Oryzias latipes: one gene and its partners. The protein of the gene in region 3 interacts with the protein of the main gene of each other region in a biochemical or structural test. Links are inferred from orthologs where the notes say so. Each region holds a gene or a part of one and is shown on either strand. Other genes may lie near its edges. The genes, in order: lrrk2, endophilin-A1 and synj1.

Region 1 (3,648 bases), on a different chromosome or scaffold from region 3:
AAGGATCATGAATACATAGAATTTAATAGGAAAATTCTAAACTGAACTAACGAAACAGACTAAACTCAAATGGGCGTCCCTGCCCTTAGACCCCCTTCTCAGTGAAGAAAAACTCAAAAAAAGAAGCAAACTCAGGGGTGTCCACATGAAGGAGGGATCCTCCCCCAGGACGGACAGACCATGTACCAGAATTGAGCTATAGCATTAGAAAATGTTTCAAAATAAAACAAGTTGATTATATTCATCTATACCATTTGGATTGAGCGACGGTAGGTTTCTTTCACTGCAACGTACAAAACCACCAGGTGTCTCACAGCGGACAACACACACAAAATGATCAAGACATCATCAACACTTTGAATTTAGCAAAGCACACCCGACATACTTCTATACTCACACATCCCAGAATCAGAGTGTGGAAACTTTACATTTAGCTGAAGCTGCACATTCAGGGACACAGCAATGACAGCTTGTGACGCTTTCGGATAGCAAACCTCCTTTTTAATGTCAATGTGTAAACAAACAATGCTAAAAAAACTACACAAAGATCAATTCATACACAGACTTGTTCTCTGTTTTGGGGAAATTGATGTATGCAGTTAATGCAAGCAGAATTAACTCAGCGGTCGTCATTTTAACTGGAAATAGGTCACACAGCTGCAGACATGGAGCCCATTCTGTCCTACATTTATCTTTCAATCCTAATATTAGCTCACGTTTTGGATTATAATCTATAAAATCTAAATGTTATTAACTTCTTGTCACTTACTAGTGATTTTCCCTTCTTAAGACACTGAACGGATTTCCCAAACAAGTGTATGACAAACTGAGCAGCTGCTCCTTTAACCCTTGTGCTATCTTAGCTGACCCCACCCTTCCATTGAGGTGTTCTCCCTACCATGACAAAGGTGGATAAAGGTGGAAAGATTTCATGTAATCCATGGACACCAGTGAAGATCACAAATCATTGAAGAAAAAAGGTTCAGAGCACTGTGTAGTGGGTCTAGATGACCCAACTCCCAATGTTAAAGTGCCTAGGATAGCACAAGGGTTACGATCATGTGGTTGACGTGTACTCTACATTTGACAGTCTCTGAAAATACAAACATACTGCCTTTCAGTGAGAAAAATGAAAACTAAGTGATAGTTTGTTCACTTTTACCTTTTTTTCCCTATATTTTTAGCCAAAGAAAAAGCTACTTGCTGGTTGGGACAGCAGATGGGATTCTCAGTGTTTATGAGGACTCTGTGCTCCCGGTAAAAACCTCTTTCCATTGAGTCTGGACTCAGAAATGTGCTGCCTCAGCAAGCAGGACTTCACTCTCCTCTTGTGCTCCTTGCAGCAAACAAACGGGAGGCCCGTCAAAACCCTCACCGTGGGAAACGTCAACACGCCGCTCATGTGTTTGGGCCCGTCTCTGCACTCTGCCGACTCCAGAACTCTGTGGGCCGGCTGTGGAACCAACATCCTGTCCTTTTCTGTGGACTACGACGTCTCCAGGTCCATCGACACCAGACCCAACGGTGTCCTGCAGTGAGTGATTCTCCTCAGGACCCTTAGAACCTCTGACATTTGACTGAAGCCAAAAGAGAGCACAAACAGCATGAAACTGTCTTCACTTCTGGGTGAATGGGTCTGGAACTTTGTTGCCACAACATTTTGTGATTATATAAGAACTATCAGAAGAACAATTGAAATGTATGTAATTTGTAATGTTTGAAAACTGTTGAAAAGCTTATTTTGCCGTGTTCTTACATAGTTTAGTGCTTGCATGTGTGTTTGATAAACATGACAGGATGTTCGTTTTCTTCGTACACACGGCCTTAAAGTGGACTTTAAAAAGTCTTAAATTGAACTTCATTAAATCTTTAAAGTTGAAGCTCAAATAAAAGAAACATCCACCGCAGTGCAGGAAGTGAAGTCATGGGGGTGTCGCCCTGCAGGCAGCAGCCGCCTCTGAGTGGCGAGGCGTGTGTGTCTCGCATGGTTGTGGACAAAAACGTGTACCTGAGTAAAGCCGGAGCGTCGACCGTTGAAGTTTGGGATAAGAGGAGTGAGAGGCTGATGGAGTGCATCGACTGTTGTCACATCATTCGGTACACACACACACGCTGTTAGTTACAGTAAATCTGTGTTTCCACGCATCCGCAGTGACTCTACTCTCCCTGCAGGCAGGACTCGGGCGGCAGACGCGGGCCGGGCGGACGAGCGGAACGCCCCTCTGACGCCCCGCCCCCCTGGGCCATAGTGAAGGCTCTGCTGCTGCAAAGCAATGCAGCTCTCTGGATCGGCACTAGGGGGGGCCATTTGCTGCTGCTGGAGCTCCCCAAACACCAGCCTCTGTGGGTCGCGGCGCTCGGCTGCGACTCGGTCCGCTCCATCACCTCTGCGTTCATACGTGCGTTCTCCACATTTGTCCTCTGGTGCTGAGCGCCACTGTCCTGCTGGTCATCACATCCAACATTGTCTGTTGATCACGAAGCCTCCAGGTCCCACTCCCATCATCTGTTGATCCATTTTCAAAGCGCTCCCAGTGGTCTTTTGATTATGATGATGCCGTTTTTAGCCCAAATCCAAAAACCTGTGTTGTTTACTAAGACATAGTTTCTGCAGAGCCGCAGGAGTTCAGTAGAAATTTACCTGGAAGCCCCCCCCCACTGCGGGGTGAAGCAGAGACCTTGTGGGCCACACAGCCTATTTTCTACGTCACAAATAAGCTCTTTTTCCAACTGCATCTTTTTGTCTGCTCCTGATTCACAGCGATTCGAATCAAGAATTACGTAGGAATGCTATTTTATTCTCACTTTTCTGCCATAAAGAGCATGCGTAAAAAACACCCTTTTCATCAGAGTGGGTCTTGAACTACTCCTGTTGGGTTGCCGTAGTTTTATGCTGCCAGTCCGTGGAGTCTGTTAATTGCAAACGAGAAGCGGATCCTGGCAGCAGTTAACCGGTGCTGGCACAGCGTGAGCTCCAGAACAGGTCAGATCCAGTGGAGCGGTGAAAGCAGCAGCAGAGTGTGACAACGGACACAAGCAAACATCAGGAACACACAGATACGCAGCACCTGCGGCTCACATTCATTTGCATCAGTGTCTTCCTGCAACATGCTTGTTTTTGCCCCCGCAGAGCCGCTGATCTGGAAGAATGTGGTGCTGGTTTTGGGACGGAGACTCCCACAAGACAAGAGTCAGTATGAGGGCGTTTCCGCAGACAGCTGTGGGATTGGGACGCCCAGCGCCTGAGCCTGTTTGTCCGTTTGCCCTCAGATGAGGAGTCTGTGCTGATGGTGTGGAGCAGCAAGCTGCCGGCGGAGGTCAGAGACCTGAAGAAGCACTGTGAGAAGAGGGAGCGCACCGCAGTGAGAATGAGAGAGCAGCTCCACCAATCCTGAGCCTGCAGGTTTGGAGGATTTCTATTCCATCCAATTAGGATTTTGCTGTTTTTAGCCACAAGAAAACAAAAACCTGTGTGGTTTCTAGAACAGTTTCTGCAGAGCGACAGGAGTTCATGACACATTCAGCTCGGAGTTTAGGGCGGGACTATTAGCAGAGCCCGTCACCACTTCCCATCATCCTTCTGTTTACACTCTCTCCCACTAGCTTACAGCCCCTCTCACCTTGTATTAGCGGTGCAAAAAAAATGCT
Region 2 (4,197 bases), on a different chromosome or scaffold from region 3:
TCTATTTTATGACAAAGAAATATCAAAAATGATATCAGACAGACTAAAGCACATAGTTTGGTTGAAATTCTTGCTTACTGAACCGGTAAATTAGCACATTTTTAAAAATCAAAACATATGCAAATATATGGAGGATGTAGAAATACTGATATTAGGCTTTACAAAAAATAAAAAATAAAAAAAAAGAAATCAATGGGGAATGTCCATGTGAAAAAGTAATTGAATGTCCGAGCTGCCCTTAAACGCGCCATCGGACCCTCCAATGAGCTGTCCGTGGTGCTGAAACCGCGTCGGTGTCTGTTCAGTTACAGTGTGTTCAGTTACAGTTCAGACGCCTGCAGAAACGCTCGATCACGTGACCCCACCTGTGATCTTATTATTATTCTGTAGAATTAACTCTTTCACATAGGAGGGTCGCGCGTGCGAGGACGGCTCGTGGACGGTGGAGGGCGGCGCGTTCCTGTCACAGCAGACCTGCGCTCTCGCCCTTCTGAAGATCGTCTATCTGTGAAGACAGACGTCTGACTGACGAGAAATTTGTCTTTTCCTGCATAGTTATCAAAAATCTCTGTAGATGTTAGTTATATAATGTGGATTAAACCAAACTGTGACATTTTTGGTAAAATTGTTTTACATTTTTTTTTTTATCCACAGAAACTCTTGAAGAGTTCTAATCAAAAGAAATAAAAACATTTTTTGTTCACAAAACAGAATATTATTCAAATTCAAAAAAGCTAAAATAAACTTTGTTAAACGTTTTTAATTAATTTATTGGTCTTAATTTCAAAACAACAAAAAAATCTTTTTTTAACAATCTTTAAAAGCTGTTGGAAGTCTTTCCCAGTAAACTATTTTTTTTTTACCATTTTTTAAATTTATTTATGTAATTTTGTTGTAGTTGTTGTTGTTTTTCAAATGTTCTTATTCCTAAACAGATGTTTGATTGGTGTGTACCTTTTTACATTTTTCGGATATAACAAAAAATTGCACCACACGTTTGCAGTGGATCACACGCCACCTTCGTAGCTGTATTTATTTATAATGAGAATATCAGTTTTGATGTCCTTTCTTTTGCTGTTATTTATGAACATTGTTTTTCCTGCCCCATGGTGGGATAAATAAAGTCATTTAATCTAATCTAATCTAAACATTTGCCAATGGGACATTGTTAAACGGATTTCTTTCCTTTTTTTGTTTTATTTCTTTATAATTTATGTCAAGTTCAGACATTACACTACCTAAAACAAGTCTTTGAAATAAATAAAAAATGAACAAGCATAATCCTATTTATTCATTGGAAAACTCAAAATTTTATTGCATATTTAAAAAATAAACAGCTGGACAAACGGGACGTGGATCATTTCGGTTTATTCGTTGGAGTGATCCATCTCGCTCATCAACGATCTCCGCCCTCCGCCTCGCTCGTGCGCCTGAAAATAGATCCAGCAGCTGGGTTTGGTCCGGCCGTCCTCCGCTCCGCTCCCACCGGGTCCCACCGAGCGCTAACGGACACTTATCGACGCGCATCACCGGAGGATTTACGGACGAGTTCCGCCGGGTCGAACCGGTCCACTTCCAGACTCCGTTCTCCGTGAAATTTTTCCGCCGTCAGTTCTTTCTTTTTTCTTCCTCCGCAGCCGAAAGATGTCTGTCGCGGGGCTGAAAAAGCAGTTCCACAAAGCCACCCAGGTGAGCGCTTTAGCCCGTTCTGACCCGGTTCAGCCTTTGTTTCCATGTTTAAAATCTAAAAACAAACATTTCTGTTGTTCTGAACCTTTAAATGAATCTAAACGGAAGTTTAAAACACAACATTTCTGTTTCAAATCATGTTTTATTCCCACAAATCTCGCATTTTATGCTGAAAACAGATTTAATCCACGCAGGTGGATCCTCCTGTCACGTTTGGGTCCAAACTGATCCGGTCCGGTTCACAGTTTCGGTTCTTTACAGGATGTTCTCGTGATGTTTGGAGTGGGGAACCGGGCAGCAGAACCGGGCAAACCCCGGCGCTGAGGCTCGGTTATAATATTATGTAAGAATCCGTAAAGTCCGGAGCTGATTGGCTGCTGCTGAACGCAACAGGGAATTCCCTCCATCCTCCTCCATCTTCTCCCCCCATGCATGCCTTCATCCTGGCTCCTCATCCAAACTTCACTACACCCCCTCTTCCTCACCTCCACCTCAGTTTTCTAACTTCTCCTCTTTCATCTGTTCTTCCTCCCATCATCCTCTCATTCATCCTACAGCTTTCTGTTCTTGTCATTCCTCCAACATCTCTCCATCTGCATCCCTCCTTCACGTCCTCCTCCATCTTTCCGTTTGTCCATTCATTCTTTGTATCATCTTGTTTTTTTCATTGACTCTCTCCTCCACCGTCCTCCCTCTCCAGTCCTTCCCTCCATCTGTCCATCCGTTCGGCCCGGAGCCCCCCCTCTCTGCTCTGCAGGCTGGATGGATGGGTGGAGGTTTACTCTAGCGGATGAGGAAGAAGAGAGGTTGATGAAGATGAGGTTGGGAGCTGCCTGTTGATGAAGGTGAAGATTCCTCCGCTGTGTCACATGACTCTGTTGCCAGAGATCAAAGTGGAGGCGTGTCCTAGTGAGTGGACACTTCAAAGGGCGGTTAGCCCCCCCAGAGTACCTAAAGCTGCAGTTCATCTAATGACCACTAGGGTTGGTTTCCAATGGGAGCCGTTCCCACTGACTCCCATGTTAAAAGTCCAACTTCACAGAAAAACTGAACAGGTAGAACAGGGTGTTCATGTTGGGACCTTTTCGTTTGTGGGGGTTTTTATGAAAGCTCAAACATCTCGTGGGGGTGGGGGGGGGTTGTTTGTACTGACTGGCAGGAGGGTGGAGTTAACTAAACTCCTGCTGTCCTTTGTCCCGCCCCATCACCCAGTGCTGTAACGTTGGGAGGAGAAAGTTCCGGTTAATTTGTTCGTCCCAATTCAGGCTTGATTCTTGCCGTTCGGGACAATCCGTGAGACGTCAGCAATGATCCGTCCACTTGGTTTCTATGGTAACAGTCCCACAGTTTGTGTCGGATGTAGGGACCAGTTTGGGCAAATCTTGAAACGGCAGTGTTGATGGAGATCTTAACGCTGACGTTGGAATCCAGTTTGAGTTCAAGAAGTTCATGAATTCCAGAGGGAAACAAGCTTCACCTCCATTCTCCAACCGCTCCAACAGTGATGCAACATTGGAGATGATCCAGATTGGTGAAGACGCCGTTTATTTCAGGCTGTCCTGCACTTCTGGGACTTTCACAACTTCTCTGGTTTCATTAAAAAGCAGAAAAGCACATCAGAGAAAGATGAGGGTTAGAAACGAATCCGTCTCCCTCAAGCCTGCCGTCTGTCCCGCTGTCATCTGGACAAACTGCTGTTCATTTGTCACCTGGAAATAGAGGATAGTTATTGATCCCTGAGGGGGAAGTGGGTCACGACGGCAGGAAATGAGAGAAATAAAGAGCAGAGACGTCCTGAAAGCTCAGACAGAACCTGAGGGAGACACGGACTGGAATCCGTCCGTCCGTCTAAATGTTTGTTTCACTGAGTTCTACCAGAAAACATTAAAGGTTCTGCTGTGGCATGATGGGAAATATCAAGATCCTACACCGCTCGGTGAACCATAGAGAGAACGTGTTCATGCATGTGTTTTTCTACGGCAGACAGGTCGTAGTGAACACGTGGGATTCAGTATTCTGTCTGACGGTTTACTATCTATCAATACATGATGGAAGGACCTTCAGTTCTCTAGACGTGTAGACGGGACATGTTTGTCATGTTTCAGGCGTATCCCTGCTGGTTGTTTAGCAGTTTCCAGTTTTGTTTCCGTTGAGTCTGAACGAGTTTTGTTATCAACATCACAGACACATTGGTTCTCGGTGTGGTACGGTACTTTGCAGTTCTGTAGTACCTAGCGGTTCTGTAGCACACTAGAGTCCCCAACGGTGTCAAACTACAGCTTTTAGCGGTCATGTTGGGTGGCTTCAGCCATACCCAGTTGCATCATGGGTATTGGTGAGTATGGCCTTAGATTGATCAACAACAGTTGGGCACAAAACCTTGTTGGTGAACATTAGGAGCAGCTGAATACGACTCGGGTCGGTTCAATAAAGTTCTTTAACTGCATCAGAAGAAGCAGAACTGATGTGATGTGGATCGGACGGGTTTTCTGGGTCTGACGGCGTCTC
Region 3 (3,648 bases):
AGTGGGCTGGGACCAGCCTCTTCAAGAGGAAAAACAGAACATTTTTGTCTCAAAAGAAAGCTTAGACAGAACAAAACAACAGATCCAAAACGTGACATTCGGAGAAGAAAGAAGGGACTTTTATCCGGCTGCTCTCAATTGAGTTTCAGGAGAAACATGTCTGGCTCAAATGAAATCTATTCCCAAAAAATTGGGGGTGGGGTTTTTTACCTGATGGTGGTGGAGGCCGTTGAGGTGGAGCAGGTCTAGCAGGAGGGGGACCGGGTCGAGGGGGTGGTGGCCGTTTGGGCTCCAGGCTTCCAGATGGGGGCGCGCCAGGCTGGAAGTCAACAGGAGGTCCTGAAGGAAAGCCAGAATATGAGAAAGCCTATTTTCACAAACAGGTTGGACCAAAAATAAAGCTCCAAACATAAGTATTTAAAGGATATATGCCCTCTTTAAAAAAATAGATATTATAATGAAAAAGTGATAGACTAAAGCCTTTAAGTATTGAATTTGTACCACTATGACATGATTGGACACCAGTATTAAGCTAAGGACCATCTGTTCAAATCATCTCCTACCACCTTTCTACTTCTAGGCAAAGAGAAAAAAAATGAAGCACGTTGCACACACTTAAAGAACCAGTGCTATAAAATATTTCTCAAAGAGAAACATTTTATTGTAAGACATTAAATATTCTTACAATACACACATATGGCACTACCACACATTTTATTACCTGGAAATTCCAATCTCAGAGACAAAGGACTTATTTCCATTTCTACATTCCACAAACAAAAGAAAATTACAGTTTATATTCCTGCAGATAGACTTAGTTTGAAGGAAGGGATTAAAGTGGGCTTTTAGCAAAATAAAAGCAGTAAAGTGTGATGCAGTTTTGTGTAGTGAATTTTACCTTGTGATGGTCGGGAGGGTTGTTGGGAACGACTGGGCCTGCTGGGAGCAGCGGGTTCCCCGTGGGTGGGTGAGGGACAGGGACTACTGCGGGGAGAGGGCAGAGGAGAAGAACCGGGACCAGAGCCGGCTCCGGGCTGCAGGTGCTGTGGAAGGATCTCCTCCACCTCCTCATCCACTTCACCTGAAAAAAGAGGTAGAAGAGAAAAAGGGCTTGATCAAAAACTCTAAGGTGTACAGGTTTCTCTATGATATGTGGCATGAAGGATAGAAATAAAAAATAAAAAAGGAGCCCCCCCCCAAATGTGAATTCATGGTAACAACTCACCCTCCATGTCAAATTCATCCTCATCCACATCAGCATCTTCGGCAAGCAGGGTGGAACTGGCTGATGTGGGCATGCTTCCAAAGATCCTCTCCACACTCATCTCCTCCTCCAAACTCTTGATCCAGCCCGGGCTTCTGAGGCGAATGTCAATCACCTTTCCAAGAACCTTGTAGCCACAAACACATGAATCAAAGACAAAAAACAGTTCAAAACATACAGAACAGCTTCAAAAGGTTTTTAGACAAGAAGCAAAAGTGGCTTAAATTCAGCAGAACTACCTATTTAGGATTGGTTTAGTTTTGACTGACAGATATTTCATGGCTAAAACTTTTGTTTTTATTTAACCTAAAAACCAAAAAGCCAGAACAAATATGGAGTGAAAAGTCACTTCAAATTTCAGTACATTTTTTAAATTGAATGTTTTCAATAATTAAAAGTGGGGAAATAAGAATAAAAAAGCAGAACTTACAGTGGAAGCACTCAGTGAAAGAGCTGCCAGAGCAGAATAACCTTCCAGGAAAGTAACCCACATCTTTTCCTCAACAAATCTGGGTAAAAATAAAAAATAAAATTAAAAAGTCAGAGAGGACAAATATCTGACAGTAATTATGAGTCTGCATCTCTGTGTTGTGACCCCAAACAGACCTGATGAGGATGACCTCTCCAAAATTGGAAAATTTATCCAGAAGCTCGTCAATTAGGTCATCACTGAAGTAGTCATCAGGCCCAGAAGAGCACAGCGATACCAGGATGGTGCCATCTGGAGGCCCCTGCTTGCCAATGACATCTTTATAGACCTGGTGGCGAGTCTCAGGGTCCACTTCCAGGATGTCCACATCTATTACTGCCACAACAGGCCTATAAGATAAAGATACGATTTTCAGACAACCTTAAATATCAAACATAAACACTTTATTGAAACATCTAAGCCTCCGTAGTTACCTGTGGTCTGAGGTCTTCAGCTCGGCCCTGCCGTAGTACTTTAAAGCGCCAGGGCTCCATGCAAATTCTGGATCCCCCTCATTATCTGCAGAAGTGGATGGTGCCCCAACAACATTCAGCTCCTCTGCTGTTAACCAAAGACAAAGACAGCTTATTCCTTTAAAAGCTTTTTCTTTTTCTCCACACACAACAGCAGCAAAAAAAACAAAAACATTGTAATTGACACGTTTCAACAATAAAACACAAGGGAAAATGTTTTTCCTGCATTATTTGTTCTGCAACTAACCCGTTTTGCTGAAGTTCCACTTTCTCCTCTTCCAAAGTATGCGGTCCGTCCAAGCTGGAGTGCGGCACTTCTCACTGGTGTCATAATCGTCTGAGAAAAGGTCGTATTTGTAGGTGGGGGCGAAATCTATCTTTCCCTCAATAAACCCCCTGAAGATCTGCAGGATACAGTTGATAGTGTCAGTGGTTTGAGGGCCAAATAAATGAATTTCTATTTCATAACAAATAATTTATGCTTATATTATGTACTGCCCTTGCTCCTATGCAATAAAAAACCCTAGCAAATAAAATGCTGACAGCCATGCACATTTTTTTGATAAACATTTTTTAGTGACCATAGGAATTTACAAAAGTTTTTTGTGATTTTTAAAGACCCACTTCAAGGAAAATAAAGTTTTTGGTGCTTAAGACGTGGTATTTTTCTGGGGATGGAGGACATCTATTAAGCAAATTAAGCTTAAAATTGCATTTCTGAATATTTCTTTATAAAGCCTTGTGAATCAGACAAAAAAATGCAGTTTGAAAAAGATTGCATTTGGGTTGCAGAAAAGACCCTGGGTGGGCCACAAGCTCCCTGCTCCACAACAGGGAGGGGAAGGGGAGGGGGGGTGTGCTTGCTACATGCCAGCGGTCTAAGTTCTAATGAAATGCAGAAACGATGTCCTGGAAAATGAGACAGGTTTTTTGATGATCAGGGTGGGTATTTAAGATCAGCTGCCCAGAGCTTTTGGTTGGTGTACTGAAACGAGATGACAACAGACGACAACACAGTCGGATCTCAAGTCGGACAGTCGTACCGCTCCTGCATTTTTTTGCTCCAGCAGCTGATCCCCAGCCGTCAAAGCCTCCCAGTTCTGCTGTCGGATGAGTTCCTTCACTTCCTCATTGGGCAGGTTGATTCGGTAGTTGAAGTCTCCGCACCAGAATACGTAATCATGGGAGTACAGCAGATGACCCTGGAGGACAGACATGGAAGCTGCAGTTTAGGCAACTAAAGCGGCACGGAGCCCAAAAAGCCCCGCTGTAAACAGCTGTTACCATGGGGAAACTGAGTCTGCGCGTGATCTCGTTGTAGTCATCATTCCTCTCTTTGACTTGGGATTGGCCAGCGGCAAAATGGGAGCACACAAAGCAGATGCTGGTGGTGTGGAACAGCAGGCGGATGCCCACACCTCCTTTATTACCTGTGGCCCCAC

What was found.
Region 1: of the proteins of synj1 (region 3) and lrrk2, one has a biochemical effect on the other in vitro, tested with the Homo sapiens proteins (2 studies listed by BioGRID). The link is inferred for Oryzias latipes from reciprocal best matches to the Homo sapiens genes SYNJ1 and LRRK2.
Region 2: the proteins of synj1 (region 3) and endophilin-A1 form a complex in vitro, tested with the Homo sapiens proteins (2 studies listed by BioGRID and IntAct, with this or other methods). The link is inferred for Oryzias latipes from reciprocal best matches to the Homo sapiens genes SYNJ1 and SH3GL2.

Annotation. Positions count from the first base shown.
Region 1 is NC_019864.2:2,138,613-2,142,260, reverse strand, and holds part of lrrk2 (leucine-rich repeat serine/threonine-protein kinase 2), read left to right. Parts: intron 1-1,184; coding exon 1,185-1,257; intron 1,258-1,343; coding exon 1,344-1,534; intron 1,535-1,944; coding exon 1,945-2,097; intron 2,098-2,172; coding exon 2,173-2,399; intron 2,400-3,130; coding exon 3,131-3,190; intron 3,191-3,270; coding exon 3,271-3,395; 3' UTR 3,396-3,403; intron 3,404-3,648. UniProt on the Homo sapiens protein: Serine/threonine-protein kinase which phosphorylates a broad range of proteins involved in multiple processes such as neuronal plasticity, innate immunity, autophagy, and vesicle trafficking.
Region 2 is NC_019876.2:2,702,388-2,706,584, forward strand, and holds the start of endophilin-A1, read left to right. Parts: upstream 1-1,366; 5' UTR 1,367-1,644; coding exon 1,645-1,689; intron 1,690-4,197. UniProt on the Homo sapiens protein: Implicated in synaptic vesicle endocytosis. May recruit other proteins to membranes with high curvature. Required for BDNF-dependent dendrite outgrowth.
Region 3 is NC_019872.2:10,887,174-10,890,821, reverse strand, and holds part of synj1 (synaptojanin-1), read right to left. Parts: coding exon 3,491-3,648; intron 3,409-3,490; coding exon 3,250-3,408; intron 2,611-3,249; coding exon 2,454-2,610; intron 2,295-2,453; coding exon 2,168-2,294; intron 2,084-2,167; coding exon 1,871-2,083; intron 1,774-1,870; coding exon 1,695-1,773; intron 1,392-1,694; coding exon 1,226-1,391; intron 1,082-1,225; coding exon 899-1,081; intron 764-898; coding exon 722-763; intron 340-721; coding exon 211-339; intron 20-210; coding exon 1-19. UniProt on the Homo sapiens protein: Phosphatase that acts on various phosphoinositides, including phosphatidylinositol 4-phosphate, phosphatidylinositol (4,5)-bisphosphate and phosphatidylinositol (3,4,5)-trisphosphate. Has a role in clathrin-mediated endocytosis.